Notamacropus eugenii: one gene and its partners. The protein of the gene in region 2 binds, or shares a complex with, the protein of the main gene of each other region. Links are inferred from orthologs where the notes say so. Each region holds a gene or a part of one and is shown on either strand. Other genes may lie near its edges. The genes, in order: NCF2, CYBB, CYBC1 and RAC2.

Region 1 (7,087 bases), on a different chromosome or scaffold from region 2:
ATCATACCATCGGCTTACAGTAAGCTTGTGGTCAACTAAAACTTACCACTTCATAGATCTTTTTTCATATGAACTGCTGCCAAGGCAGGCATAGCTCCTTTAGATTTATGGACCCTAGAGGAATGGCAGAGTTATTAGAAAGGATCTACAAAAAGGCTATCAGCCATGGGCATTTTGATCTTTAACAAATAAACCTTCTGTTGACTGAATATGTCTCACATGTATATGTGTATATGTGCTCTTTTAAAAAATTATAATTAATCTTTTTTATATCATCTATATTTTGTATTATGCTATTTGAATATGTGTACATGCTGTTGTGATAAAATATAAATTTATTTAAAAGCTATTATGTCTTTTCTTAATCAACTGATACTGAGTATATATTTTATCAAAGGGATCCTCACACTTGAAAAGATTGGGAACCACTTTACTAGGCTTTGAAAGTCAGTTTATTTCCCAACATCATTCCTTATTGAGTGTCTCTGCACCATTTATGGGTGGGGGCTAGGAAAGAGTAGAGAGAAGAGAGATTCCAGATGGGAGGGCAGCTGACTAAAAAGAAGACTTCATTCTTCTGGTTCAGGCAGAGGAGAGGAGAAAGGAGGAGAGGGGAAGATGGGAGAGGGGAGAGGGAAGGGGAGGGGAGGGAAAGGGGAAGAGAGAAGGGAGGGAGAGAGAAAAGAAAATAGAGATATGTTGTTTCAGTCTTGTCTGGCTCTTCATGACCCCATTTGGGGTTTTCTTGGCAAAGATACTGGAGTGATTTGCCATTTCCATCTCTAGCATATTTTACAGATAAGGCAAACAGGATTAAGTGACTTGTCCAGGGTCACACAGCTAGTAAATGTCCAAAGTCAGATTTGAACTCAGAAAGATGAGTCTTAGAAGGGGTCCATAAGTTTCACCAGACTGCCCAAGGGGTCTGTGACACAATAAAAGGCTAAGAGCCCCTGGTTGAGTCTAATCCCTTCATTTTATAAATAAGGAAACTAGACCCAGAGAGGTAAGTGCTAGAGTTGTAATCCAAATCTCCTGTCATCAAATCTAGCACTCTTTCTACCACACAACATGGTGGTTGAGAGTTCCTAGGATTTATGTATTTTGGTTCCATAAGTTTCCCAGCTTTTCCACAAACACAGAAAGAAATGGGGTGTACTTGCTTTATAACTGACCATATTCATCCTACAGGGACCTTAGTATATTGTAGATAGTAAAACCCCATTAATAGACCTGGAATCCCTTAATTCAAAATTAATGAGTTATTTGTTCAGGAATTGAGCAAAACACTAACCTTTCTGTTTAATTATGATAAATTTATTTCCTAAGCAAAGGAATAGTGTGCTCAAAACTGTAGAAGATAAGCTGTTTTCAACTTTTAAAACCAATTTAGCAATGCTTATTTGCTTATAGTTAATATGCTCATTATAAGTTATTCTTATTTATTTATTAAATCAGTTTCCTCGTCTGTCAAATGAGCTGGAAAAGGAAATGGCAAAACTCCAGTATCTTTGAAAACCCCAAATGGGGTCATGAAGAGCCAGATATGACTGAAACAAGCCAACAACAACAAATTCCCTCAGTTATTTCATTTCAGTACTGTTTTGCTATATTGATCTTTTAAGGACAATAGGAAAAAGATTCAGATTTTCAAGGACAGAGTTAACTTCATTGGCCATCAATGTAAATGGCTCTATAAACTTTCCAATTCTTCTCCAGTGGCTCCAATTTTTCTTAGTAGGGGGATAGGAAATTTTAATTTGTAGTTGTCATGCCCTTAACCCTGACCACCTGATGATCAAGATTTTGCAAGTATTCCCCAGAAAAGGAAATGTTAGAAATAGAATGAGGGAAGTAATCTCAGAAGTGAAGCATGATCCTATGACCCTATAACAAATTACAGATGACCTTTGCCAACTGTGTGATATGACATGAGCCAATCACTCCCCAATACTACAACTTGTACCCAGTCCTTGGGTAGCTTGGTAGCATAGTCAATCACAAAGGACAGCAATTAGATAGATAGATAAACAGACAGACAGACAGACAGAGAGACAGAGAGACAGAGAGACAGACAGACAGACAGACAGACAGATAGATAGATAGATAGATAGATAGATAGATAGATAGATAGATAGATAGATAGATAGATGATAGATAGATAGGTGGATGGAGTGGATAGATAAGAAAAAGAAAGAGAAAAAAGAAATATGGATAGATAGATGGATGGATGGATGAATGTATGTATGGATGAAACATTTGTTAATCACTTAATATGTGCAGGTACTCTGCTAAGCAAATAAGACAGACCCTACCTTCAATGAAACTATGTTTTAATGAGGGGAGACAACATATAAAGGGAATCTGGACATCAGAAGAAGGGGGTACATGAAGTGGCACAGATGCCTGCATCTATCTGTTAGATCCTACTATCCTGGGGGGCACAGTCCAAGGCTCCAGTGAAAGGGGAATCAGGTTAATGGCTAGAATGCAGACAGCCAGGTATGAAGATAGCTGAGATGTACTTATAGAGTAGAAAGAAGGCTGACTTTGGAATAAAAAGTCTTGGGTTCAAATTCCAGCTCTGCCACTTAACTACCTGGGTGATATTGGGTTGGTCACTTCATATCTCCAGACTTCATCAACTTCCTCATCTAAAGGAAATTGGACTAAGTGGCATGCAAAGCCCCTTCCAGTTCTAAACCTAGGATTCTATGAAACTAGGAGTGGGAAACATCCACAGAATGATGGAAACTCATTAACAGACACAAAGAAAAAGAAACCCCAAAACACCTGCCCATACTGCTGTGCTATCTCTTGAAATTGTCTTTCTCATCTCCTCTCCCTTTATTTCCAAGGATCCTATGGTTCTAATGCAATATTAGGGAAGACAGTTTTTGAAACACTAGTAGCAAACATTCAACATCTCCCTGTTTAAATGTGCTCATTGAAGGCAGTTTGAATATGAGCAGGAGTCCAAGGTAATCTCCAAAGCTCTTGTCTTTGTCTAGTTCCTTCTCCCCTCTGTGGTTCAGCTTTCCTTGCTGGACTAACAACAGTCATGTTTAGCTTCCAGGATTTCCATAAACATTCTGAGTTTTCATAAAAGAGAGCAGAGCCTGAAAAGGCTCTAATATCATTTTATGGAGAGAGCTAAAGAAACTATTATTCGTTGGAACAAAGAATGACTGAAAATGGGCATCCCAAGCTGAGATGGTGATGCTCTAAAGATGGAGGAAGTTCCTTAGAATCATGGATTGCTTTTTTAAATTAAATTTCATTTTATTTTTAGATCTGCATGCTATGCCTTCCACCTGTACACTCCTCCCCATCCCACTGAGAAAGTAATAAAACTAAAACCCCCTTTATAAGCATGTATAATCAAGAAAAACACATTTTTGTATTGAGCATGACCAAAAAAAGGTCTCTGTGCTCTTGGTCTATCACCTCTCCATCATGAGGCTGGCAGCAGGTTTCGTCCTGAATCTCTGGAATTGTAGTTGGTTACTAAGTCTTTCAAAGTAGTTTGTTGTCATCATATAGATTGTTCTGGGTTTGCCTACTTCGTTGCATATCAGTTCCTATGATTCTTCTCTGGTTTCTCTGAAACTACCCTTTTCTTCAGTTCTTATAATATAATAACATTCCACCATATTCCCGCACCATAACTTATTTAACCATTTCTCAATGGATGGGCATGCCCTCAAGTTACCAATTCTTTGCCATCACTAAAAAAAGCTGCTATAAATATTTCATGAATATGACTTTTAAAAGAGCTCAGGGGAACTTTTGACTGAAGTATCACATCCAATCCCCTCCTTTTGCAGATGGGGAAACTGAGGAAGTAACTGATCCAAGGTCACACAGCTAGAAAGTGACAGTGCATGGCCCAGAAACACTAGTAAAAAGGTAAGACTTAGTTGGAGGGACTGATCATGGCAGAGCAGAATAGTTTAGAGGAACTGATCCATTGCAGTCAACACTTGTACTTCCTCTCTTTCCCCACCCCTCCCCTCCTCTCCACCCCCACCTCCCTTCTTCCCCTTGCCTCTCAGCAGGGTTACTAAAAGATGAGGACACTTCCTGACATGCTTACAACACAGAGAAGTCAGCTTGGAGAAGACTAGATCTTCTTCTGAGACCCACTTGAAAGGAAAAAATAAGACACTTGGTCCTACCCAGTCAAGAATAAGGGAGCCGAAGAGAGACCGTAGGGAACAGGCCCTGGTGGGAAAGACTTCCTCTCCATTGAGTGCTTTCTCTTCTGCCCCTGTTCTGCCTAATCCAAGTTGCTCTTTGGGCACAGTCTGGGTCTTTGCCTCCCAATTCTCATCTGGCCATGTCCTTAGCTGAGGTGATACGCCTTTGGAATGAAGGGGTGCTGGCAGCAGACAAGAAGGACTGGCATGGAGCCTTAAAGGCCTTCACTGGAGTTCAGGACCCCCATTCCCGGATTTCCTTCAACATAGGCTGTATCTATATGATTCTGGAAAACCTGCAGGAGGCAGAAAAGGTAAGTGAAAGACTCTTACTTCTGCTTTGTGCTTTCGTGGTATCTTCATGCACAATCATGTCTCCTGATGTGGGATGGTCTCTTCTCTTGCCCACCTCCAAATTGGATCCATCCATTGAAATCTGTCCTCTCTAGGAAGCCTTCTTTGACTATTCCCCCTTCTCTGAACTCTTCTTGTGCCACTTGGAGCAGACAACTTAGCATATGTTTTTAAACTATCTCATGTTAATCTCTAATTCATTTGACAATTAAATGGCTATCATATACCAAACACTCTACCAGGATGAGAGACCCACACAGTTTAATCTTTCATGCCAATCAGTACCATCTTCCCAACTAGATAATAAGTTGCCTGAGAAGATGGATGTGAATCAAATTGTGAAAGATTTTAATGTTATATGTAAATTATACTACCTCCTCCACAAAGTCTTTCCTTGTAGTTATCTATGTATGTGTCATATTCCTCTACTAGAGTAAACTGAATACAGGCAGGTCTATGTTATCATGGAGTGGATGAAAGAGTTTAGTCATGAAAGATCTGGTATTTACAGATAGTAAATGGACATATTGGTATGGATGAATATATTTGACTTCTCTCAGTTGTTGGCCCAAAACCTTAACTAGGATAGGGCCCCTTAGGCATTTGCCCCAGTGTGCCATCTTCCAGGAAAATATACTTTTGGGGGACAGGGGTGCGCACATATTTTCTCCATACTGCAACCTGGAGACAAGCATCCCTATGTCTAATGGAGACCTGTGTTCTGAAACTTTGAAGTCTTTGTTGGCTTCAGGATAAGGTGGAACCCGACTCCCTCACCCAGTACCACCTTCAGGAACATGAGGCCGGTGATCTTCTTGAGTCTCATAGCAACTCATAGAATTCATATGAGCTCCACAACGGAGGGAGAGGAAAATTGATTACCAGCTTGGGGTGAGGGGATAGAGAGTTAGGATCAGCAACGGTTTCAGGGAGGAGCTATCTCAGTGATGTCAAGCATTAAATTTATGCACAGATAAGTAGGTCAGGTAGTCAAACAAGTGACCCCAGAGGCAATCCACAAATAGATTCTAGTTCTGATATCTATATGTGCTGGTTGGAGATAAGAATATAAACAGATATGCTTCAAGGATAAAGAGTGGATTTCTTAGTAAACGGCAGTTGGTCCAAAGGACAGATAGGATGCACAAGAGATAGTGAGCCCTCCTGGAAAAAAAGTGTGTAGACAAGGAAAAAGTAGAAAGTTAGGGAGAGAATACAAGGACATCTATACTTACTGGTGATAGTTTTAGAGTTTACCCCTATGAGGTGCTTTTTGTCAAAAGCTTAGCAACAATGGAGAAGGTTGGAATGGAACGTTTGTGTGTGTGTGTATACATATATGTGTGTATACACATGCATATATACATATACACATGTGTATATATGCATGTGTGTACATATATGTGGATACACATGCATACATATATGTTTGTATGTGTATATATCCCTATTTTCCTTCTACTCCTAGTTTTAAAAAATCTTGAACTTTATTTCTCCTCTTCCTCCTCTTCTTCCTCCACCTATTGTCCTTCTAACTCCTTGTCTTTCTTGATATTCCCTTCTGACTTTGTGCCTTTGTCATCCCCAGAGGTAGCCATAAAATCTGGCTCCCTTTGCCCAGCCTCCAGATAGCTCTCTTCCAGACACCAGCCATCCTCAGCTCTCAGCCTAAGGTGACTGCCTTAACTCTTATCACCAGCTTTTTACTCTTACAAACCTATACACAAAAACACTTTCTCTTTCTTACAGGCTTTTACTGGGAGCATAAACCGAGACAAACATTTAGCAGTGGCTTATTTCCAACGAGGGATGGTCTTTTATAGGATGGAGAAGTAAGTCTTTGATATCACACAATGTTGGGAATGACATGAGGGTACCAGGAGGGATGTGGGTTTTGCTCTGTGTTCACTAAAAGTTTTTCCTAGTTTTATATCAAGAAGTTTGACTCTAGACTGAATGAAATATGAGTAATTAAGCAGAGTTCACATGTCTATAGTTTTGCAAAGTCCTTTCTTCATAGTAACCCTCCGGGAGGATAGGTGGTTCAAGAGTTATTATTTCTATTTTACAAAAGAAGAAACTGAGACTCAGAGAAGTTAGATGACTTTCCAAGATCATATAGGCAGTAAGCATCAGAGCTGGGGCTCAACATTGGGGCCTGCTAAATTCAGATTTAGTATCCTTCCCACTACAGCCTGCTGCCTCTCTTGTCATTATGCAGTAAACTCAGACACGGTCAAACCTCGACAGAGCATATTGTGATAGATACTGCTGCTTCAGACACGGGAAGACCGGACTCCAAGTCTCTCCACAGATATATGCTGTCTGAATGACCCCGAGGCAGCTCACCTACCCTCTCAGTAGTAACCTAATTCAGTTCTCTAACATTGTAAATTAGAGGAAGTTGCTTATCTGGATTATTAGAGGGAGCTTTCTTACTGGGAGTTTCCTATGCCAAGGAAATTATAGGACCAATAAAATAAACAAATAACTATTGAAAATATTTCTATAGGGCTAATATCAATGCTATGGTA
Region 2 (7,894 bases):
GCTATGATCACCCTAAAGGCAATCCTTGCTCACAAATGTGCCTGGAGGTGTAGATGAATCACAGATGAGAAAGGCAATACTTTGAAGCATCAGATTAAGACAGAGGAAACCAGGTGCCCATCAACTGGTGAATACTTGAATAAATTATGATATATGAATGTAATGGAATATTATCATGTCATAAAAATCATAAAAGCGATGATTTCATAAAAGTCTGGGAAGAATTCTGTGAAATGAACAGGATTAGGAGAATAATTTATACAGCCATAACACTGTAAAGGAAAATAGCTTTGAAAGATTTAAGAACAGTGAGAGATGCAACCATTTAGCAACCATTCCAGAAGACCAATGATGAAGCATGCCACTCACTTCCTGTTAGAGAGGTGAAGGACCTAAAGTACAAAGTGAGACAAGCATTTTTGGACACGGTAAATGGGTAAAAATGTATCTTTCCTTTTTTTTTGCTTCATTCTTCATATTTATTAAAAAGATAGTATTTTTCTTTTTTTTAAATTGAGGATGATTTGGAGGAGGGAGGAAGAAGCTAGTGAGAATGTTGCCAAAAAAGGGGAGAGAGAGAGAGACAAAAAGAGAGACAGAGACAGAGACAGATAGATACATAGAGAGAGAGAAAAAGAGAAAGAGAGAGAGAGAGAGAGAGAGAGAGAGAGAGCGCCACAGGGAGGGAGGGAAGGAGAAATGGAAGGAAAGAAGGAAGGAAAAAGAAAAAAGAAGGAAGGAAAGATGGAAGGAAGGAGGGAAGGAGAGAGACACTGAAGTATTTTCTAAATGCCCAGAAGAAGATAGAAAGATTTTCTGAAGGGAGCAAAAAAAAAAAAAAAAAGACATTTATGAGTTACTTCCTATTTACAGAGTATTGTGCTAAGCACTGGGAACAAAAATACAACTAAAAAAGAAATAGTCCTTGCCCCCAAGGAGCTTATAATCTAAAGAAACACAGTCAAGCAGGGCAGCTTTGAAAGGAACAAGTTGAATTTTGTATGTTATGTATACACGTACATATACACATACACATAACACACATACCTACATATTAAAAGCCAACTGTATGAAATAGAGATTCATAATTTCACATATAATTTTGTTTTTCTGTTCCACACATGTTTTATTATGGAGGATTAATTTTTTTGTGTTAAGTTCAGGATACAAAATACATTTTTAAAAAATAGATGATAGTGGCATGGGGAACAAGGACAAGAGGGCAAAAGCGCAGGATGTTGAAGACAGAACAGTGTGGAGAGGACTTTTATCACTTGAGCACTGGAGAGAGAGAAGTCTTGCTGACTGAAGCTGAAGGCATCTGGGGAACTGTGTTAGAGAACTAGGGCAGGAACAGGGGCAAGTGTCAAGCTCATAGACCAGGGACCCTGGGCAGCCTTCTTGAGAAGGACATTTTCCCTGCTTAGTTTGAGGAGCCAGTTCTATTTTAGCAAGCCCACTGGTGTCAATCAACCCTAGGGTCATGCTATCTTGAGTCCACTACAAATTCTTGTAACTAATGAGTAAGATTATAAAAAATAGAATGTTTAAAATAGAACTGGAGGTCTGAAGATGCCATTCAAATTTTTTTGCTTCTATTTGCTTTACTATATTGCTTTATAACCAGCAAGTAAAATGTAAGAATAGTATGTCACTGACTCTGAGCTGGTTCCTCCTGTATTGAACGTCAGCTTTCCATTGATTCTTTCTATCTGAAAAGGATGGAGCAGCTGGATCAAGATCCATCACCTTCCTCATCCCTCTTTCCTTTAACTGTAAGATCCTGACCCCCTTTAGAACCAGAGAGCTGTCCAATGGGCAGCAGACAAAGCTCAGTCTTAATGCTTTGCCCTTCCTCCCACAATTCCTCACCTTCCTACAAAATGTCACCGAGAGCCTTAAAATCGCCAGCAGTCATTGCAACAATCCCTCTACTTGTGATGGTGTCTGGGTGTCCAGCTCCACCCCTCTGCAGGTTGGTCCCCTATTATCTCTCAGGTGGAGAGATTTTGCAACCTTGCATCTATGCTCAGCCAGAGGACCTACCTCTGCTCAGGGGAAGTTGCCTCAGTCTGCTGGGAGGGCAAGAGGGAGTCTTGCTTCCTGTTGTTTCTCTAACTACTTAACTGCTTTGGTGGGGAGGGGTGGGGAATTTCCAACTGGAACCTCAAACAGGGTAGTGCCCCCAAGTAGCTCTGACTGATGATGGATCTTGATCATGTTCATCAGTGAATGTCCCTAGGATAGGGACTAGACATGAGATTTGATTGGTATAGGAAACTCTCAGGTAAGGAAATTCCATCTAGCAACGTAAGTTGACAGCTTAAAGAGTTCCCTACAGCAGAGAAGTCAAATGTGTGGCCCACTGTCTATATGTGGCCTCTCAAGTGTGACCTGAAGCAGATGAAAATGCAATTAAAAAATATTTAACAAAATACAATAAAATATAGATAACACATTTTAAAATTAAGTCAACATATAGCAGCAGGGATATTTATTTAGGGATTGTTTTTGTTTAGTCTTGTCTGACTCCTGTTAGCCCATGGACCATAACATACCAATACTGTCCATGGGGTTTTCTTGGCAAACCCCTGGAGTGGTCTTCCATTTCCTTCTCCTGTGGATTAAAGCAAACTCAAGTTAGGTGACTTGCCCAGGGTTATACAGTGGGTCTTCATCAGAGGCAGGATTTCAAAGCAGGCTTTTCTAGCTTAAAGACCAACTCTCTCTCCATTATGCTTTAATGCTTCTCCAACTTAGGTATAGGAAAGCAAAATGTTTTCATTCTTATTACTCTGCATCACTGCTTCCAGCTCAGAAACTGAGGGACATTCTCTAATTTGGAAAGATGTCCTTGTTTTCATACCTCTAATTGTTCTGTCTTTTTCTGGGAGTGGGGAGAGAGGAGGCAATCTGGGTTGGTGACTTGCCCAGAATCACACACTGTCTGAGATCAGATTTGAACTCAGGTCCTCCTGACTCCAGGATCAGTGCTTTAACCACTGCACCACCCAGCTGCCCCTCTGATTGTTGTTTCAAACACAAAACCAAAACAAACAATGAGGAGGAGTAAATTGTTCCACGAAAAGACTTTTCTTGATTTCTTTTCCCCTAAAAATTATTGGGGGCAGGGGGCTTGCAGGAATTATAATAGGAGAGAGAAGAGACAAATAATGTACCACTTCTTGAATCTATGGAAGGGAAGATATTTATTTAATTAGGTGCCAGTTTGATACTTTTTCATAAATCTTTTTTTTTGAGGGGACAGAGGCAAGCTAATTTTTTGTTTTAATGTGCTGGTGAGGATAGAGTAGGTTCTCTTTCACAAGAACAAAGTGATTTGGGGACAGAGGTAATAGCATTCCCAGTTAATGTTATTATCCCCCCATGCCCCCTATATCTCATTCTTTCCCCCTCCCCAACACCTCTTCTCCCATCAGCCTCCCCATTTCGCTCCCCTATCCTCACTACTTTTATACCCATGCCATTAGTAGTTAGAGCCAGTTCTGAGCATTTAGTGGACTGCAAGTTCAATACAAGTTAAATGTATTATGGCAGTCAAAAAAAGCTAATGTGCTCCGGAGGCAGCATGGTGTAGTGGATAAAGAACTATACTTAGAACTGTGAGGCACTGGGTTCAATCCTGCCTCTGACTAGCTGTGTGACCCGGGGTAGATCATTCTTCCTCATCTGTCAACTGAAGAAATTGAAGCCGATGACCTCTAAAGTCCCACCCAATCGATCATCCTCTGATCTCAGGGTGCCCTAAGAGAGATAGAATGTGCAAAATTAGACTTGGAAGATAATCCCAAGAGACTTAGCCATGCCACATTAAGAGAACTGTGTTCAGCATCATACATCAGGAAGGACAGGGATGAATTTCAGAACATTCAGAGGATGGCAACTAGGTTGGGGAAGGACCTTCCTATCATGCTGTAAGATGACCAGTTGGACAGAAGACTCAATTTAAGTGGAACATGATAATTATCTTCAGATATTTAAAGGACTGTTGTATGTAATAGGGCAGCTAGGTGCCTCCATAGAAAATAGAGTGCTGGGCTTGCAATCAGGAAGACTGATACTGATGAGTTCAAATCCAGCCTCAGACACTTATTAGCTATGTGGCCCTGGGCAAGTCACTTAATCCTGTTTGCCTCAGTTTCTTCATTTGTCAAATGAGCTGGAGAAGGAAATGACAAAAAACTCCAGTATCTTGGACAAGAAAATCCCAAATGGGGCCACAGAGGCGATGACCATGAAAACAAACGAAGAAAGGGCTAAACTTAAAGTAGAATGAGCTACCTTGGGGAGGTAGTGGTTTCCTTGTCCCTTGAAGTCTTCAAGCAAAGGTCTGTTCCTTGGAAATGCTGTAGGCAAGATTCTTGCTCCAGTGTGGGTTGGCCTAAGTAGAGGCCCTGTAACAGAGACCTGGCCTCTGGATTCTGCTGAGACTTGGAAAGCCCTTGATTTTGTCACATGGTTCTCCCTGATCCCCCTTAGCACCTACATACTAATTCTAAAAGAGAAAATTCTGATCTTTAGGCCCAGCAATTTGTCAAAAAACCTTTCTAAGTGTACCAAACTTCCTCCAGCTCAGCAATTGCAAGAGTAAAGGCAAAAGTTACTATATTAATTTAATGTGCTTTTTACTGAATCTAGAGGAAGGTATACTTGAACATTTTATGTGTTCCAGTTAAGGATCAAATAACAAAAAAGCCCTTGGTGCATAAAATACCCATGAATTCGAGCAGTAGTCACATTTTAAAATTCAAACATTGCTTCTCAATTTAAGAAAATGATTCAGTCATATCCTTTTTAAGATTGCAACATTTTTTTTTAAAAATCCACTCTTAAAAAAAGTCTCTGTGGTTTAAACATTTAAAGTGAGCAGGGAAATAATTCTTTATTGACCAATGGTTACTTAACTTCGATAGTAGAAAAGGAAATAGATTTCTCTCTGGGGTTACTGTTTTCACTTCCTCATGGGAAAAGGGTACATAGTGCAGAAAAACGGTGCAGTCAGGGCATTCATCTCAAGCAGCCATGGGTAACTGGGTAGAGAACGAGGGTCTCTCCATCTTTGTCATTGTAAGTATGAAATGAAATATTATTCATTTGTTTTTGTTTTTTTTGTCTTTTACTTGTTTTTGTTCTTTCTGGAAATGGAAAATAGCCAAGGGTCCTCCTCCTTCTCCCCACCCTCAACATGTTCACTAGGTCTCCTCCAATTTGCTTTATCGGTACATGTCTTTTAAAATACCATTTCCATCACTGACATTTTTTCATGGAAATTATATATTTGGGGAGAAGGGTAATTTTTGCCTATTTTGGAAAATGTCTTTAAGTCACTTCAGTAGTTAAATTAATGGACATTTCATGGTGGAAGAAAGCTACATTTCTTGCTAATGAATCCAGGTTCCAGGTTCTCATGCTTTTTCAAATAGTGTCTCTATGGCTATTCAGGATGTGTTTATAGTCTCTTAGAAAAAATAATGAGTAATTAAAATGCTCATGTGATCTTCCAAAAGTAGGATGGAATTTTCACTAAGGAGAATTTTATTTCTCATGTGAATTGCTACTAAAGTACTCAAAGTTCCTAGCTTCTTTACCCTCCCACTCTTCTCCTCATTTTTTTTGGCTTTACTTTGTCTGTTTTAAACAGAAGTAATTTCTGTTTAAAAACAGGTTTATAATAACCTAAAAATAAGTTTACGATAACCTAAGCCAAATAAATTAGCCAGGCTGAAAAATTTCTCTTACTTTCTGAATACATGAATAGTAATGGCTGGAATTTATATAGGCTTGCAAAGCATGTGAGAAGTGAGATTTGAACCTAAGTATTTCTGAATCTATGTCCAATACTCAAGCCACCATGTCAGCCTGCCAAAGGGAGGTTCTATAAACCATAGATTTGTCTATACCACTGGTTTTTTTTCATTTTTAAATAGGAAGCATTCTTTCTTGTCCTGTATAAAATATGAAAATGATCAACTATTCCCTTTAAATGAAATTCATGATACCAATTAATTACAAAAAAAAAGAAAGAAAAAAGATAGCTCTGGGCAAAAAAATGGAAGCTAGCATTTTTGGTTCTTCCTTTTGAATGCTTTGAAGTCAATTAGACAAAATAGAATTTCTAATGGATAAAAGCAGGTAAAACAGGTTTCCTGAGACCTTGGACCTGAACCTTTGAGTTCTTGGGGATACCGAGTAGCATTGACTATGAATTACTTTCATAGTAGCCGGGTTCCCCTTAAACACACTCCTCAAAGTGCTATCCATCCAAGTGAAAGACCTGAGACATAAGGTACAGTCACAGTGATGAATGTAAAAAAAATATAATAATTGACAACTTGGGAAAAAGAGAAGTAACTTTAAATACTTTTTTGAAATGTAGTCTTTTGACTTGTATGATCCATTAGTCTTTTATGTTTTTTTAATAGCCTTGACTGCTTAAAGGCAGAACAGAGCAAAGTAGATCTGTGGCAGCCCCAGCTGAGCGGGAGCAGCTGAGGGAACCTGAAACAAAGCCCCTTCCACCTCCCCCGGAGGCTGGGTCAGTTCTGACCTGACCCAGAAGAGCTTTTCATATTTTTATCCCAGGACTGGTCACCATTCCCTTTCCCACTGAGAACTCTGGGGACCATCCATGCTTTCTATATTTCCTCTTCAAAAAGGAAATATAATGTGTGGGAAAAGCATGTGGGACCTGGGGAGAGAAGATGAAACAGATTCTTCCTTTTCTCTCTTATTTTCTTCATGAGCTACTTGGGCCAGACCCCACTCCCTCTAATGTAAGAGCTACGCCTAGATAAGACAACAGCCACAGAGTGGCATCTTTAAAAAAAAAAGTAGCTCCATCTTAAAAGTTTTTATTTAAATATGTATCTAAAGGCAGAGCCTGGAAAAAAGGAAAGGGGATTTAGAAAAAAAAGAACGGTTATAAGGAAAGTTGGTTAAGCACAATTAAAATGACCATAGGTTATAAGTAAGGGTGACATAAGAGTAGAATAGGAAAGTAGGTAAGCAAAATGGATATCTTTGGTCGTTAAGGAGAAGAAAGAGAAAGATAGAAGGGGAAGGTGAACAAGGAGGCAAGAAGAAGGTAGAGATGACTTACCTTCATGTAGTGCTTTTGTCAGATTTCAGTCATGTCTGACTCTTCATGACCCCATTTGAGGTTTCCTTGGCAAAGATACTGGAGTGGTTTGCCATTTCCTTCTCCAGCTCATTTTACAGATGAAGAAACTGAGGCAAACAGGGTTGTGACTTGCCTAGGGTCACACAGCTAAATAAGTGTCTGAGGCCAGATTTAAACTCAGGGAGATGTATCTTCCTGACTCCAGACCTGGCACTCTATCTACTAGACCATCTATCTGTCCCTGTGTAGTGCTTTACAATTTACAAAATGCTTTGCATTTTATTTTTGCCCTCAGAACAGCCCGATGAAATAGGTGGCACAAGTTTGAGTCATCTTATTTCATAAATGGGAAAGGAAAGAAACAGGCATTAGGCTAAGCATTTTACAAATTTATCTCATTTGATCCTCAACTTCATGAGGTAGGTACTATTATTATCCCCATTTACAGCTGAAGAAACTGAGGCAGAGGTTAAGTGACTTGCCCATGGTCACACAACTTGTGTTTGAAATGGCATTTGAACCTGAGTCATATTTTCCCTACCCTAGGTCCTCTATCCATTGTACCATCAGCTAAGGAATTTAAGTCTAAAAGAGATCAAGGGGTTTGCCTAGGAATGTACTGTTTTAGTAATCTTGTTGGTACAGTTCTAGGGGAAAGCTTGTGCTACCTTAGCAGCCCCAGTCCCTGGGGTCTCTGGGAATCCTAATCTGTAGTTGACAGGTAATGGTCATAGGGGGAAATAAAATTCTTCA
Region 3 (7,129 bases), on a different chromosome or scaffold from region 2:
CCCTTAGGGTTGAGAACACAGTTTTCCCAGTCCTGCCAGTGGTATGATTATTCCTATACTGTCCATAATTCCAGAGTATCAGATACCAAATGCTCAGAGTAAATCTTCCCAGCATCTGAAGCATCTTGTCCTCTCTACTATTCCCCTCTTTGAACTAAGAGGCCATCGTGTCAGGGTCCTGCCAACTATATCAGATGCTACGGGCAGGTTAATAAATCTACTATTCTGGTACAATAAGCATTCAGGTAAGTCCAGTGCATTTATTCCTTTACTCAAAGAACTGTTGTTTAGTTTATCAGTCATGTTCATTTCTTTGTGACTGTTTGGGGTTTTCTTGGAAAAGATACTGGAATGTTTTGCTATTTCCTTCTCCAACTCATTTTACAAATAAGGAAACTGGGCAAATAGATAGTAAGTGTGTGAGGCTGGATTTGAACTCAGATCTTCCTGACTCCAGGGCTGTCACTCTATCCACTGCATCACCTAGCTGCCCCTTACTCAAAGAATAAAATATATGAAAGAATATATGGTTGGGTGAAACTTTTTGTGTCTTCCTTTCCTCCTGCAAAGGCACACTTGTGACCCCAGGGTGTGATCTCATAGTGTTCTGTTTACTTCTAGCTGGAGTGTCTTCATACCTTAGAACCTATTTTCTCCTATTCCCCCACATGACCACTGATTAAGTCCAGCTCTTTGGGGATGTATATCTTGCCTCACTGCTCATCTTTTGTGACTGGAGAGAGGTGATATCATGCCACTTCTCTTCCTTTCTCTGGGGAAGGGTTCTATTTACACCATTGCTCTGAATTATTGTCATTTATTTTCTACAGATTATGTTACTCTCCTACTCAATAAATTTTTTTTTTAAACATTAACCAGCTGAGACACAGATAATATTTATGTTGCTAACTTCACAAACTCTTGACCTAATTGTCTCCATAGTATTACTAAGAATTAAAGGACCTTAACTTATTGTTGTAGGTCTAAAGTCCTATGCCTAATAGCTTAATTTTAGACAACCTCGGATATTCCCCTACCCATAATCTATAATTGAATAGATCTAGTATTAAGCTTATAAACCTTTTGACTACAGGAAATTGCCACCAATAGTAAGGACATTGCAAGGATACAATATCTCCCCAACTTCATGTCAACCCCAGGCAGGATTAGACTATCTACTTGCATTCAATCAGGCTTAAAGTCTGCCAGGTGTCAGTGGGGAAATTGAGTCAGGAGAACTCAATAAATTTTAATACTCCCCTTCTATTAAATTTTTAAAGCCTTTTACAACCTCCACCCATCCTACCTATCCAACCATGGTGTACAATACCCTTCCTTCTAGCACTCTATAGTCTGCCAGACTGATCTTTGAGGCAGCTAGATGGTACAGTGGACAAAGCACTGGGCCTGGAGTCAGGAAGACCCTATTTCAAATTCAGTCTCTGTCACTTACTAGTTGTGTGACCCTGAACAAGTCACTTATCCTTTCTCTCTCAGTCTCTTCAACTGTAAAATGGAGACACTAATAGCAACTCCCTCCCAGGATTGTTGTGAGATTCAAATGAGAAAATATTTGTAAAGCACTTAGTATGGTTACTGGCGCATAGTAGGCCCTTATTTCTATTCCTCACATGTGACATCATGCTTTTTTAGTGGCCAATGTCTATACTTGGAATGTACTCCCTTCTTACCTTCAGCTCTTTAAATCCCTTGTTTCCTTAAAAATTCAGCTCAAATACCACCTTCTACATGAAGCTTTATTTGATCTCCAGAACTGCTAGTGCTTTCCCTATAACAATCAGCTTTTGTATATTCATCTGCTTCCCCCGAAAAACTACAAGCTCCTTGAAGGAAGGGAAATTTTTAATTTTTGTCTTTGCATCTCCACATGTAGGTGGTGCAACACCATGTTCTACTGTTGTTGTATGTCCTTTACTCTTAAAAAGAACCATGACATAAGGGGGGTTATGCCAGGACATGCAAGAGAATTGGATTTAAGTGAGGGAGGGCAGTGCAAAATCAACAGCCTCATTTTCTTCTCTGGAGCCATCTGGGACTAGTGGTAAGATATAGATCAGGATGACCGGAGATGGTCCTGGATGCAGTGGGAGATCTTGGCCTTTTAAAGCTAAGGTCTTTAACAGGTCTTAGCTTGACTGAAGCAATCAATCCCCATTCAGTGATTGAGGTTAGATAAAGATGGAAGCAAAAGATAGTCTAGTTTGTCTTCCCAAAGAGATTGGTCTGGGAGGGTAAGACCTTCAGAGTTTCTGGTCAGAACAGAAATAACTGTTATTTACAATCACTCTGAGCCATCAAAACTCAAACAATGAGCCAGTGAGGCTTGGGCTGGGACCTGGTTGCTTAATAAATGTTTGTTGACTGATTTGTTCTATTTAGGAAAGATGATACTGGGTTTAAAGGTAGACAGAACCATACCAGCCTTAGGCTATCTCATTTGGGTCGATTTTATATATACAAACACAATCCATGAGGGCCATACTACTTAAAGAAGCCTATTCACTGACCAGGTGTATCTCACCCAAAATGAGAATCTGATAAGACTTTACCCTAGAATGGCCAGGCTCTCACATGGCAACATGGCCTATCTCCAAGAGTCCTGATGAGTATCTGGCCACTAGATCCAGATATCTCTGGAAGAGAAAGAGAGGCTGATGACCTCGCATAGCCCTGCCTCACTCAAATCAAAGTCAACTGCAAGTCAAGTCCTGACGTCACAGTCCTCTTCCAGAATGAAGGACAAACACAATCTTATATACTTGGAATACATGAATACATGAATAAGTCATCGAATATGGAAATGAATCAAAAGTTTTGTAACAGTCAGTAAAGGTAGTATAGATATTATATAATCCTTTTAATTGGCTTGCACCATAATGAACTGTTTCTTTAGATACCCTTTTCCTCCTTGGCCAGTACACTGTCTTTCTGTATTTACAAAATCTGGGAGTGATCCAAGGTATGAATACAGAGAATACATAAACATGGATATGGCTTACATCTGGAAGGATCTCTCATGTTCTTTTGGTAATTAATATGGGATGCCTTCTGTTACCTGAGTTGGATCAAAGTTGACTTCAAGAAGCTGGTGAGTGTACCGAGGAGAATTCAGGCACGATTGTGAACCTTAATTAAGAACCTTATCTACTTTGCAGCTCTCCAGCTTTATTTTCTAATTGTTTTTTTTTTAAATCACCCTGCTTACTTATTATGACTGTTTCAACATGTAGCTAGACTTGACTTAGGTTCCAGGAACAGTAACTTTCTTTTATCTCACCTATCTGTCTCTTTTGGGGCTGATTCTGGGGCTCCGGACACGAAGGCACTTAAAGGTCTGTAGGATGACCAGGAGGATCTCATCTTTTATATTTATGGTGTTTTACCATTTTCAGAAGGTTCTATACATATTACCTCAATGCCTTCCCACCATTTGAGGTACAAAGGGAACAACATCCTTTTACTAAAAATGAGAAAACAGGGCTACAGAAGGCCTGTAGAAGGCCACACAGATCAGAGGTAACTGAAGTTATCTAAGTCTTTCCATATAACACCATTTTATGAAAATGGTCATTCATGCTCAGAAGAAAGAGGGATCTGAAGGCACCACCACCGGACGGGGCGATGAGACTGCATCCCGCCCCCTCTCCTTTCCCCTGCACTGTGCTCGCAGAGAATAAAAGCGAACCTTCTGCAACAAGAAACTCGGGGAGAGACCATCTTAACTACGACACCCCAGCGTCTTTCCCTGCTACCCGGCCCCTGCTTCCTGGACTTCCGGTCTAATTCCTGTGAAGTCGGCGAAGCCATCTTGGAATTGGGCAAAGTTTCCATGCACTGGCTCCTCAGGGCCGGGAAGGGTCTCTGACAGTTGAAAGGACACCTTCTTCTGTCCTGTTTACTGAACCTCCAGCCCGTTGAGAGGTTATTTTTCCTCCGTACATTTTTTTATTTTTTGCCAGCTTTGGCATTCCGTCTACGTCAGCGGCCTGTAAAGCGGTTTTTGCCAGAATGCAAGATGGCCACCCCCGCGCCGGTCCTCCTTCGTAACGGAAGTGGAAGCTCCGGGCCGCTCTAGGGCATGAATCCGGAAGTACGCTTCCCGCCCAGGCTTCATTCAAACGTCTGCCTTCGTGCTGGTTCGTGGGGCACCGCTTCGGCTGCCGTCTTCATCTAGGTAGGCGCGTCCTCCACCCACCTCCTCCGCCGCCCTCCCTGCCATCTTGGCGGGCACTTACCGAATTCGCGGAGCGCTCGGGCCGCCTCTCCTCCGCGGGCGTCTGCCTCCGGGCTGCCTTCCCTCCGCAGCCGTGGGGGACGCTGGGGAAGAGAGAGGGCAGGAAGAAGTCCTGACCGGGCTGCGGGGGATGGAGGGCGGCGGGGGACGGGACCCGGCACCCCTGACACCCCAGGAACTCTTGCTGGTTGGTAGGGGGGAGCCAGGTGACCGTGAGATCCTGGAGCCGGCGAGGCCAATCCCCTCCTTTTACGGGGGAGGAGAACGATGCTGAGAGGGAGAGACTTGGCCAGGACCGGCCGGCCGGCGTCGGAGCCGGGGTTCGCGCTTAGAAGCGTTTTGTCCTTTTCCTTCTTTGTGGGTGTCAGCGCTGCCCTTCCTCTTTACCCCCTCCCCATTCCCTTAGGAAATAGTTATTATGTCTATAGAATATAATTATATACATATAATTATGCATAATAGAATAGAATATAATTATACATAATATCTAATATAATCATATATAATATATTTTACATACTTATATATATTATATAATACATATTATACATAAAATATGTATTATATATAATATGTATTATATATAATTATGTAATAATATGATACATAATTATTCATTATTTCTGAAGGCCACTAGAAGTGGTGTCCTCTTACACAAAAAGCTGCCCTGGTCCAGTTCACATAGCCCACAGGAACCAGAGTTTTGAATCAAGGAAGTCCTGCTCAATTCGTAATAGGAAAAATTCCCTTCAATCCATGACTTTTTCCGGATACTGATCTTTGCTGACATCCATTGTACTAATAGGTAAATTAGTGTCAGTTATTAACTGTGATGGATACGTTAACAATTATGACTGAGTAGGTAGTTTCATAATTCTGTAGGAAAAAATACAGCTTTGTAAAGGTTCTCCTCGAAGGAGGTGTCTGCCAAACATATCTTAAAATCACAGCAGATTCTATGACAAATGTAAACCTGAGTTTCAGCATCAAGGTAGACAAGAAACACAGAGATATACACTCACTTAAGGAATTCACCAGTGTCACACAGAGTCCAAATAGAAGAGTTCCTTATCATCCATAAAGTTCTCCAAATGTTCCTGCTTTGTTTTTTTTTTCTTTTTCACTTTACGATTTATTTATTGAAGACATTTAAATTCTCCCTTCCTTCCACCTCTCCTCTGCCTGCTGAGAAGGCAAGCAGTATTCTTTCAGTTTTTCATGTGAGATCATACAAAACATATTTCCATATTAGCTATACTTTTTTCAAAAGCAAGAAAATGAAGTGAGAAAATGATAAAAATTCCCCTGCTTTCAGATGACATCATACTAATTCTTTTGAGCCCAGAAAGACTTTTAGCACTTCTGAGAAAGGTACTTTTGAGTGAATTTCTTCCAGAATTTTGAAGTCGTGAAGGAAGAGAAAAACTCACCTCATTTGTTTAATGAACATTTGGGGAAACATTCAAAATCTCAAGATTATATTCTTCATAAGGGTCCACATAAATTTTCTGATGCTTCTACTCACTCTCTTAAACTTACCGCAGTATGGTTTGTGACTGTTACTCAACTGAAACTTCTCTCTACACACTTAGCAATGGTTGGCTATTTCATGCTTTGTGTTTATATCCCCAAGGCCCAGCATTATGCCTTATTTAGTAATTGATTACCTCTTAACTCTGACTGTCCTCCAAGGGTCAACCCTAGAGCATTTGTATTTGATGCTGGAAGCAATTGGAAGCAATAGGAAGCCCCTGAAGTTAATTGAGTGACACAGGAGTGACAGAGTCAGACCTGAGCTTTAGGAAAATCACTGATGGCTGAATGGAGGATGTATTGAAGTAGAGAGAGACTTGAGACAGGAGACCCATCATTAGGCTATTGGAATAGTCCAGGCATGAAATGGCAAGGGCCTGTGTTAGAATGGTGGCAGTGTGAGAATAGATGGTAGCATATCTGAGAGATGTTACAAAGGTGAAATTGATAGGTTTTGGCAAACAGCTAGAATATGAGAGGTAAGAGATAGTGGTGGCAAGAGTCAAGAATAACTCCTAAGTTGCAAGCTTGATGGACTGGAAGGGTGGTAGTACCCTCTGTGTGTGTTTGTCCATTGCTGAAGAAGATCATGCCATCAGAGAAATAATGACATGACTTGCACTTGACTTTGTTTTGAGTGAGGGAGGGCTGTGCAGGTCACCAGCCTCACTTCTCCTCCAGAGCCATCTGAATCCAGTGACCAGATAGTCATCAGGATGACTGGAGATGACCCAGGATGAGGCAGTTGGGGTTAAGTGACTTACCCAAGGTCACACAGCTAGTGAGTGTCAAGTGTCTGAGGTGAGATTTGAACTCAGGTCCTTCTGACTCCTGCCCTATCCACTGCACCATCTAGCTGCCCTTATTACCCTCTATAATAATAGGGAAGGTGGTGGTGGAAGGTTTAGGAGAAAAGATAATGAGTTCTCTTTTGGACATGTCTAGTATGAGATGACTGTTGGAGATCCAGTTTGAGATATCTGAAAGGCAGTTGGAGATGAGAGATTGGAGGTCAGCTGAGAGTTTTGGGCATTATGGTAATTAAATCACGGTTGTAGTGAGATCACTTTATTAAGTAGTGTAAAGAAAGAAGAGAAGACGACCCAGGACAGAATCTTGGGGAACACTTATGTTTAGAGGGAGTGATTGGGATGAGGATCTGTGAGGACTGTGGTCATGTAGGTAACAGGAGAACCAGGAGAATGGTGTCTGTTTCCCAAAAACGTAGAGAAAAGAGAGTATGAAGGAGGAGACAGTGATCAACAATGTCAAAAAGGCAGCTAGGTGGCAAGTGAATAGAGTGCTTGGCCTGGAATCAGGAAGACCTGAGTTCATATCCAG
Region 4 (7,860 bases), on a different chromosome or scaffold from region 2:
CTTATGAGCCCCCATGAACATTATGCTTTCCCACTGACAATCAGTTTAAAGCAGTTAGCCATCCGGATCCAATTATCTTTTGGAAATAGGTATTTGTTAAGGTGGACTGGTAAGAACAGTTGGCATAAATATTCCCTCCCCAACCCCCAGTGCCCCTGCTCCAATCAGGGGCACACTCTCCCCCAAGAACACCATGAGACCAGAGGAAATTGGCTCAGGATATAAAAAACGAGGCCCCTTCTCCCTCCGTAGGGTCCCCCACAGTGTATCTGTTCTGACCTCAGCTCTGGATGCAGACTTTGTCAACGTCAAATACTGGTGTTCTGGAGAAGTTCAATATCTACCAGCCTTTAGAAGTTCAAAAGGTTTTCCTTCAGCTTGCAAGGTGAGGGATGGGGAAGAAAGAGCAGCACTTCTCTCTCTCCATTCTTCCCCCAGATGATTTCCTCAGCTGGGCTTGGTTATGCCAGTTTCTCATCTAAGCTGGGTCTGCTATTTTGTACAAAACTCACAGGCCGTGTCTGAGTCTCTTCAGTCAATCCTCAAACCCTTCCCCTATTATCATCTCATTTCATCCAGTAGCTTTCATTCTCTCCAAATTGACTAAGAACTTTTTGCCCTTACTTTAATGCCTGCTGATTAATCATGTTCTCACTTGATTGAGGCAGTTACTTTAAGCAATGGGGTGGGGTGATTAAGTAAGCCAAAAGCCTCCTGTCCTTATAGAAACCTATACACAAAAGAAACCAGATGATTTGGAGGGTAGAGGAAAGGTTTCACATGAGCTGAGCTTGAAGGAAGCTTTGAAGATACCAACCACGCAGGGCTTGCCCATCAACTCTGAGTCTTGTCCACATCTTTGCTTAAATATGTCTATAGACTGGCTAAAAACTGTAACACTCAGCCCTCCCTGCCCCCTTTCCAGATGCTCTGCTAAGTTGCTGGGGAGGCAGAAAAAGACCAGACAAGATCAAGAACTGATGAGTCTTTTGGGGTTTTTTTGTCTCTCCTACAGCCAACGGATTCACCACCAACCTCCCCATGCTTAGCCTGGCTGGGCCTTGGAAAGGAGAAAATGTCCATTGCAGGGATTTGATTTGAACCCTTTCTGGCTTGGCAGGACCTTCTAGAGAGTGGGTTCTCTTGATAATGGTTGATAATAGGGCCACCTCTGTGTTATAATGAGGCATCAGAGGAAGATGTGTGGAGAAAGTTTACCATTGGGAATCGCCAGGTCCTCTTCTGTTCTCCCATTTCAGGTCCTCATCACCTCTCACCTGGCCTATTGTAAAAGCTTCTTAATTGGCTTCCTTCCTTCCAGTCTCTTCCCACTCCAGTCCATCCTTCCTGAACTGCCCACATATCTGACCCTATCCCTTCCCTGGTCAATAACCTCCAGTGGCTCCTTATTACCTCTAGGACCAAAGCACATCCTTTCACTTTGGATTTCCAGTCCAACAGAATCGGGCCCCATCCTGCCTTTCTAACTTATTACCTTTTTCACATGTTATCCCCTCAATGATCAACCTAAATTGGCTTCATCTCTGAGTTTCTCCCCAACTTCATTTAGATTTAAGATCCAATTCTACTCCTCACTATCCATGTGATCTTGGACAAGTCATTTTACCTGTATAGGAAATACTTCAAATCATTTACAGATGGGAGGACTTTAGTCTATTCCCCTGATTTTTAGGAGAAAAGTGAGGTCAGAGAGAAGGTTTTGTCCAAGGTCACATAACTGATAAGTAGCACCACTGGAAGTAGGGATGGTGGAAATCTAGTTTGCCTGGGGACTCCTAGGAGGGGGTAGGAGCAAGACACAAAGGCACCTTTGTTTCAGCTGATTCCCTTCCTGGGAATGACATCATATCTCCTCTTTGCCCCTGAGGTCTACTGTTATTCAGTGGAAGAAGGCGCAGCCTTGGCCACAGAATTCCCTAGGAACTTTGGGTTCATCCTTCGTTGCTGAAGAAGACCACGCCATCGGAGAAATGATGACATGACTTGCACTTGACTTTGTTCTGAGTGAGGGAGGGCTGTGCAAGGTGACCAGCCTCACTTCTCCTCTGGAGCCATCTGAATCCAGTGACCAGAGATATTCATCAGGATGACTGGAGATGACCCAGGATGCACTGGGAGACCTTGGACCCTTTAGGCCAAGGTCTTTGCAGGCACTCACTTAGGGTGAGGCAACACCCACTCATTGAATAGGCCTGTTTAAGAAGTAGCCAGGGCATGGTCCTTTTAATGAAGTCAAGAAAAAGGAAGACATCAGGCTGGGTGGGAAACAGCAGCAGTTACTATTGATAATCACTCTAAAATCAGGAGGGTCCAGAAGAGCCCTTCCTAGGAACCTAGGAAGGAAAGCAATAGATTGAGACCTGGAAGGGGCCTTACACATCACCCAGTCCAACTCCCTCATTTTCCAGATAAGAAACCTGGCTGTCTCCTCTAGGGAGTCTGCTCTGATTCCCTTGGGCAATGATGGCCTTGGCCCTCAGACCTCACAAAGCTGGTTGTTTCTGCCCTCTTAAATATTCTTATATAATGTCACTTATATGTGTTAGTGAGTTGCCTGGGGAACACCAACAATGAGATGAGATACACAGAGCTGTTGCCTCTTTCATTTCCCAACTCTGTCCCTTTGCTTCTGCTGGTACTCTTACCTGAAATGCCATCCTACCTTCCCTATCCAAACCTACTTTCTTTCCCATCTCCCTGAAAAAATAGAATATGTCTTATCTAAACTCGATATTTCTGTTAATACCCCATCTGTACATAGAATATAATGAGTAGAAATGATTTTGCTAAATTAAGTTGGATTGAGTTATCTCAAGCTACCTTAAATCTCTGGATCTGTTTCCTCATTTTTAAAATGGGTGAGCATTTGGGTTTTAAGATTCTATGAAGGCCAGGCAGTCTGGGAAGGGTCTTGCATTTGGTACTGCTCCTTCTATTTTTCCACTGCCCCTGTCATTTATGACCTGGATGACTTTGAGCAATTGATTTCGCTACAGTGACCTGAATTCGCTCCTTTGTAAAATGCGGGAGTTGTACACCATGATGTCTTAGGCACCTGCCACCTTCATATCTTTGAGCCTATGACTGGAGTTTGAATCTTGGATCTGTGACTTTGGGTTACTCAGTTTGGGTCTCAGTTTTCACAGATGTATCATAAGGGGGTTGAACCAGATGGCTTCTGAGGCCTCTAGGTCTGTGGCCCTGTGATCCAAAAGAGTCTCAATGTCCTCATCTGTAAAATGGAAGACAGGATGAGATGATCTCTGAGATTCCTTTCTGCTCTGGTTTATGATCCTGGGCATATAATACATGGTGATTAAACAAATCAGCCAATCTGGTGGCCCAGGCTCAGAACTGTCACCAGGAATTTTTACCTGGGAGCAAACATGAAAACTGGGAAGGGGCATATGGGGGCAGGGCATGAGACAAGCCAACCACAGGTGCAGCTGCATGGGGGTAGGACAGACTCCCCTGAAGCCCCTGAAAGATTAAAGTAGACCTGGGAGAGTGGCTACCACAGTGACTGGCCCCTGGGGGTGGCACCTGGAAGCCATGAACCAGCCAAAATCCTTCAAGCTAGGGATGACCACAGCACTTGCCATGAGAAGGAAGCTCATCCCACTGGATGTGAGCACCCTTAGGTACAGCTCCATCTGCCTTGTATTAGTTATGAGTTTGCTGGGTCTCCCATCACTTTGCCCTATCTGCTTTGGGGAAGTTGTCTTGGTATACTGGAAGGAAGTCTGGATTTGGAGTTTGAGGCTCTGTGTGTGTTGACTCGTTCCTTGCTCTATCTGGGCTTCAGTTCCATCTTCTATAAAGTGACAGAGTTGACCCAACTCTGAATTCTATGACCCTGTGATCCCTCTTTGCCTTGTGGTGGAAGGTTGAGGTTCCATTGGAAAGAGAAGCTGTGGATGTATTAGGAAGCATTGGTCATGGTGCCATAGTGGAAGGGGTCTGGGAGGTCATCTGGTTCACCCCCTTCCTCCCCACCTTTTACAAATGAGGAAACCAAAGTCCAAGAAAGAGGAAAGACACTTTTGGTATTTCATAAAATCTCAAAATCTCTGAATTGGAAGGACCCTTAGATGTCATCCAGTCCAAACTGTAACTGAACAGGAATCTCCTTCAATCTATCAATCTACAAATGTTTATGAAATGCAAAGGACTGTGCTTGATGCTAAGAGCACAAGGATAGAGAATAAAACAGTCTCTCTGTGAGGGAGAAAAAAATATATAAATATAGCCACTATAACCAGGGTTAGTAGGTAAATGTTTAACAATGGGCTTTCGGGGTGGGGCAATGCAGGCCACACTTTTACTTTTAATCTGCCATATTAACTTTTTCTTCATTACTTTCTTAAGTCTAGTCATCATTAAAACAATAAATGAAGACCTGATTTGTAGCATTTGGGGATTTCCCAGGTGTAAATGCTCACACCGAAATTTTAACAATCAACTTGCTGTTTGAGCTAAAGAGAATGAATACAAAGTAATTGGATACAAGATCATTTGGTAACGTAATTTGGGGAGCTCAGGACAGGCTTTCTGCAGAAGATGGTGCTGAAACTGTATCTTAGAGAGGAGAGGGATTCTCTAAGTTGGAGGGAAGAAGGGTTTGCCTTTCCTGCATGGCAGGTGATAAATTAAAGCAAGGGAACAGGAGTGCTAACCTGGGAGCCTGCCTTGCAGGCTCAGCAGCGACATCTCCACCATTCACCATGCCGGGGTAACCTTCTTTTAAGGCACCCTAGAGCACTGGGGCTCCCAGTCACCCAAAGGGGCCCAAACTTCTCTTTCAAACCACATGCCCCGCCTCCTTTGAACGGTGGAGCTGGGGGAGGGGGAGGCAGCAGATTGAGTAAGTCAGTTCCCCTTCCGCTTCTCCCCACTGCTTTCCAACGACCTGCCAATCCACCAGCCTGTTAATTATTATTTTTACTCCTTCTCTCTGTCTCTCTCCCTGGGAGGCCGGCTTCCCTCCTTCCTTGACTGCCCGGGAGGAGTCAGCCTTCTCTTCTTTCCCTGTCTCAGCGCCTCCAGGAGCCCAGAGAAAATGCAGGCTATCAAATGTGTGGTGGTGGGAGATGGGTAGGTAACTTGGTTTGCTTCTGGACCAGGTGGTGGGGACATCTTTTGGGGGGGGGGGGGAGGTTACCAATGTTTAATTGTTTTCTCTAGTTGGAGTTTTTTCCTATTTCTCTTGCCAACTCCATCCCCAGTCCCTTTCTCTTCACCCCAAGAGAATTCTCTGCCTTCTAAAACTTGGGATCTGATGGGGAACAGCTGTAGAGTCAAGTCTTCTCTCAGTGGTGGTTAGAAGTCTTCAACCTGGGTGGGACAGGGTGACTTGGGCTATTTATTGTGTCTCACCTTCTTCATCATCCTCTGACCTTAAGTCTGCTGAAGAATTGGGGCTGGGATGAGGTGAGGTGGGGTGAGATTAGGCTAAGATTCTGTACCTAGACTGAGCTCAGCATCATGGGCATTGGTGCATCCTTGAAGCAGCAATGTGGGACTGGGAGGTGGCTTCCCTTCTTTTATCTCTGGGAAAATCTGTCCAGGGCCAGGGTCATGATGAGACCTCTACCTGGTCCCACCACCAGATTGGGATCTTGCTGGTCTTCAGAGGGAATGTGAAGGTTGGTAGTAGTGGGAGAGGCTTGACTGGTATGAACATTAATGTGGGAAGAGGTTGGAAGTCATGGAAATTGCATTTGGCTCAAGTCTCACAAAGTACTGGACCTGGAGTCAGGAAGATCTAGGTTAAAATCCTGCCCCTGACTGTTATTAGCCGTGTGACCTTGGGCAAGTCACTCTGAACCTCTTCTGCAAAATGAAGGGGGTAGACTCTGACCTTTGGGGTCCCTCCCAGATCTAAATCCATGATACTATAATATTTCTAGGCCTCAGTTTCCTCATCTGTAAAATAAGGTTAGGTTAGATGATCTCTATGGCCCCTGGCAGTTCTAAGTATATAAGCTATTTCCTTATGTTCTCTGCTACTTGCAAGTTCTTCAGTCTTGGACAAGTTATTGAAATTCTCTGAGCTTGTTTGTTCCTCTACAAGATAAAGAGGGGGTGGAGGGAGGACTAGATGGTTTTAATGTTTCCTTCAGATACTAAATTCTCTGACCTTCCATCATCCTCTACTAGGATTCAGGCTCCAACTCTCCCTGGCATGACCTTGAATAAGTTGCTTCCCCCTGAGTCTCCATTTTCTTTTCTGCAAAGTGAGCACTCCATCTCCAGGGGCTGTTCTACATCTAAGTTGCATGTTTTGTTTTGGTTTTTTTTTTCCAAGAGGACCAGGGTGTGACATTTTGTATGGGGAAGAGATAGGGAGAGACAAGAACCAGAAAGACTCCACGTAGGGCTGGGAGAAGCCTTAGAATGTGGAATGGCAGAGCTGGGAAGGCCCTCAGAGCACAGAAGGCCAGAGTTGGGTGTGGGGAGTGGGATCCCAGTTGGATGAGACTCTAGAAAATTGAATGTCAGGGAAGAGAATATTGAAATTTAGAACTTGAAATGTCAGAGCTGGGAAGGTGAGGGATGTGATGGCCAGAGTAACTTATTCAAGGTCACACACACACACTCTGGCTGAGCCTACACCTTGAAGCAGGTAACTAGTTCAAGGAGACACACACACACACACACACACACACACACACAGACACACACACACACACACACACACACACAGACACACACACACACACACACACACACACACACACACACACTGAGCCTATACCTTGAAGCAGGTCTGCTGACCCAAACACCAGGGTACTTTCCTGAACCTGCTGGGGAGGATTTTGTCCACATGACAAGCACCCTTGGCCCTGGGACAGTTAATGCAGCTAAGGTGTTATCTACACTGATCCCTTCCCCCTCCTCTTCCCACTCAATACTTCTCTGACCTTGTTATTGAGCGGAAGTTGGTGAGCCAAGCCCTCTTCTTATTCAAAATGGGGGGAGGGGGCCCCAGGGGAGAACAAACTGAACCAGACAGGGATAGGAAGAAAAGGAAACTTAGTAGCAAATTGTTCAATACACAGGATGTTAAGGACCCAAATGTGGAGGCTGGTCTTTATACCCCACACCTGATCCAGGGAACAACCCTCTCCCCCTCTTTCATCTCAGGTTGTGCTTTCCAGAGCCTTCTTTCCCCTCCTGTCCCCTATAGCTTTGATTCCGAAGTGAATTGTCCCTGAGCAGATCATAGAAGTAGGAGACTTAGACCAAAGGAGAAGAAATGAGAGAGACAGAAAGGGGCTGGGAGAGATGGGCAAAGGAAGGCCCTGGGAGTGGGGGTTCAGATACTTATGTAATCTTTAAATCATAAAACTTTAGAATGCCAGAACTAGGAGGGACCTTGGAACATGGAACATCATCGATGGCAGGGGCCTAAGAACAGGGAATGTCAGAGCTGAGAAATACCTTAGAATATGCAATGTCAGCACTGAGAGATACCATCAGTTCTAGATCTCTCATTTTACATATGAGGACACTGAGGCCCAGAGAAGGGAGGTCTCACACTGAACTTGTGGCAGAAGTGAGACCAGACCCAGGACTCCTGGCTCTCAAGTGGTTTTCCTGTTCCATTACTGGAAGGAGGAGGAGGAATATTGGGGCCCCACAGAAAGTATGGTGAACTTAGAGTTTGTTATACCTGGCCAGCCTGGTGTGATTGGCTTGAGGGGGTTAAGGAGTGGCTAGCCAGAAGGCCCTAAAAGGGAGGGCTGCTTCTTCACTGTAGATAGGAAATACAAAGGGGGAAGCACTAAACTTCTGTCCTGTCTCTTCTTCATTTCAGAGCTGTGGGTAAAACCTGCC

What was found.
Region 1: CYBB (region 2) and NCF2 share a complex: the UniProt entries of both Homo sapiens proteins name them as parts of the phagocyte NADPH oxidase complex. The link is inferred for Notamacropus eugenii from reciprocal best matches to the Homo sapiens genes CYBB and NCF2.
Region 3: the proteins of CYBB (region 2) and CYBC1 are in contact, whole or in part, in a cryo-EM structure (PDB 8KEI), measured with the Homo sapiens proteins. The link is inferred for Notamacropus eugenii from reciprocal best matches to the Homo sapiens genes CYBB and CYBC1. Residues at the interface, in NP_000388.2 of Homo sapiens: Trp28, Asn74, Leu75, Leu76, Ser77, Phe78, Leu79, Arg80, Gly81, Ser82, Ser83, Ala84, Cys85, Cys86, Trp206, His210, Phe212, Pro266, Met268, Trp270, Lys271, Ile273, Tyr280, Tyr324, Phe326, Lys328, Leu335, Glu336, Trp337, His338; in NP_001028218.1 of Homo sapiens: Arg22, Leu26, Ala37, Ser41, Gly42, Asp43, Trp47, Phe50, Tyr51, Phe57, Gln61, Asn62, Glu64, Lys77, His97, Asp98, Gln99, Val100, Val101, Val102, Leu103, Arg108, Ser111, Glu115, Val117, Arg118, Tyr119, Phe120, Arg129, Ala131.
Region 4: CYBB (region 2) and RAC2 share a complex: the UniProt entries of both Homo sapiens proteins name them as parts of the phagocyte NADPH oxidase complex. The link is inferred for Notamacropus eugenii from reciprocal best matches to the Homo sapiens genes CYBB and RAC2.

What each region holds. Positions count from the first base shown.
Region 1 is NC_092873.1:461,483,855-461,490,941, forward strand, and holds the start of NCF2 (neutrophil cytosol factor 2), read left to right. Parts: upstream 1-4,073; 5' UTR 4,074-4,339; coding exon 4,340-4,513; intron 4,514-6,302; coding exon 6,303-6,385; intron 6,386-7,087. UniProt on the Homo sapiens protein: Subunit of the phagocyte NADPH oxidase complex that mediates the transfer of electrons from cytosolic NADPH to O2 to produce the superoxide anion (O2(-)).
Region 2 is NC_092876.1:437,657,376-437,665,269, reverse strand, and holds the start of CYBB (NADPH oxidase 2), read left to right. Parts: upstream 1-4,889; 5' UTR 4,890-5,043; coding exon 5,044-5,088; intron 5,089-7,894. UniProt on the Homo sapiens protein: Catalytic subunit of the phagocyte NADPH oxidase complex that mediates the transfer of electrons from cytosolic NADPH to O2 to produce the superoxide anion (O2(-)).
Region 3 is NC_092873.1:72,177,803-72,184,931, forward strand, and holds the start of CYBC1 (cytochrome b-245 chaperone 1), read left to right. Parts: upstream 1-4,109; 5' UTR 4,110-4,195; intron 4,196-4,256; exon of another isoform or gene 4,257-4,342; intron 4,343-7,129. UniProt on the Homo sapiens protein: Functions as a chaperone necessary for a stable expression of the CYBA and CYBB subunits of the cytochrome b-245 heterodimer. Controls the phagocyte respiratory burst and is essential for innate immunity.
Region 4 is NC_092874.1:294,384,676-294,392,535, reverse strand, and holds the start of RAC2 (ras-related C3 botulinum toxin substrate 2), read left to right. Parts: upstream 1-4,856; 5' UTR 4,857-5,080; coding exon 5,081-5,115; intron 5,116-7,840; coding exon 7,841-7,860. UniProt on the Homo sapiens protein: Plasma membrane-associated small GTPase which cycles between an active GTP-bound and inactive GDP-bound state.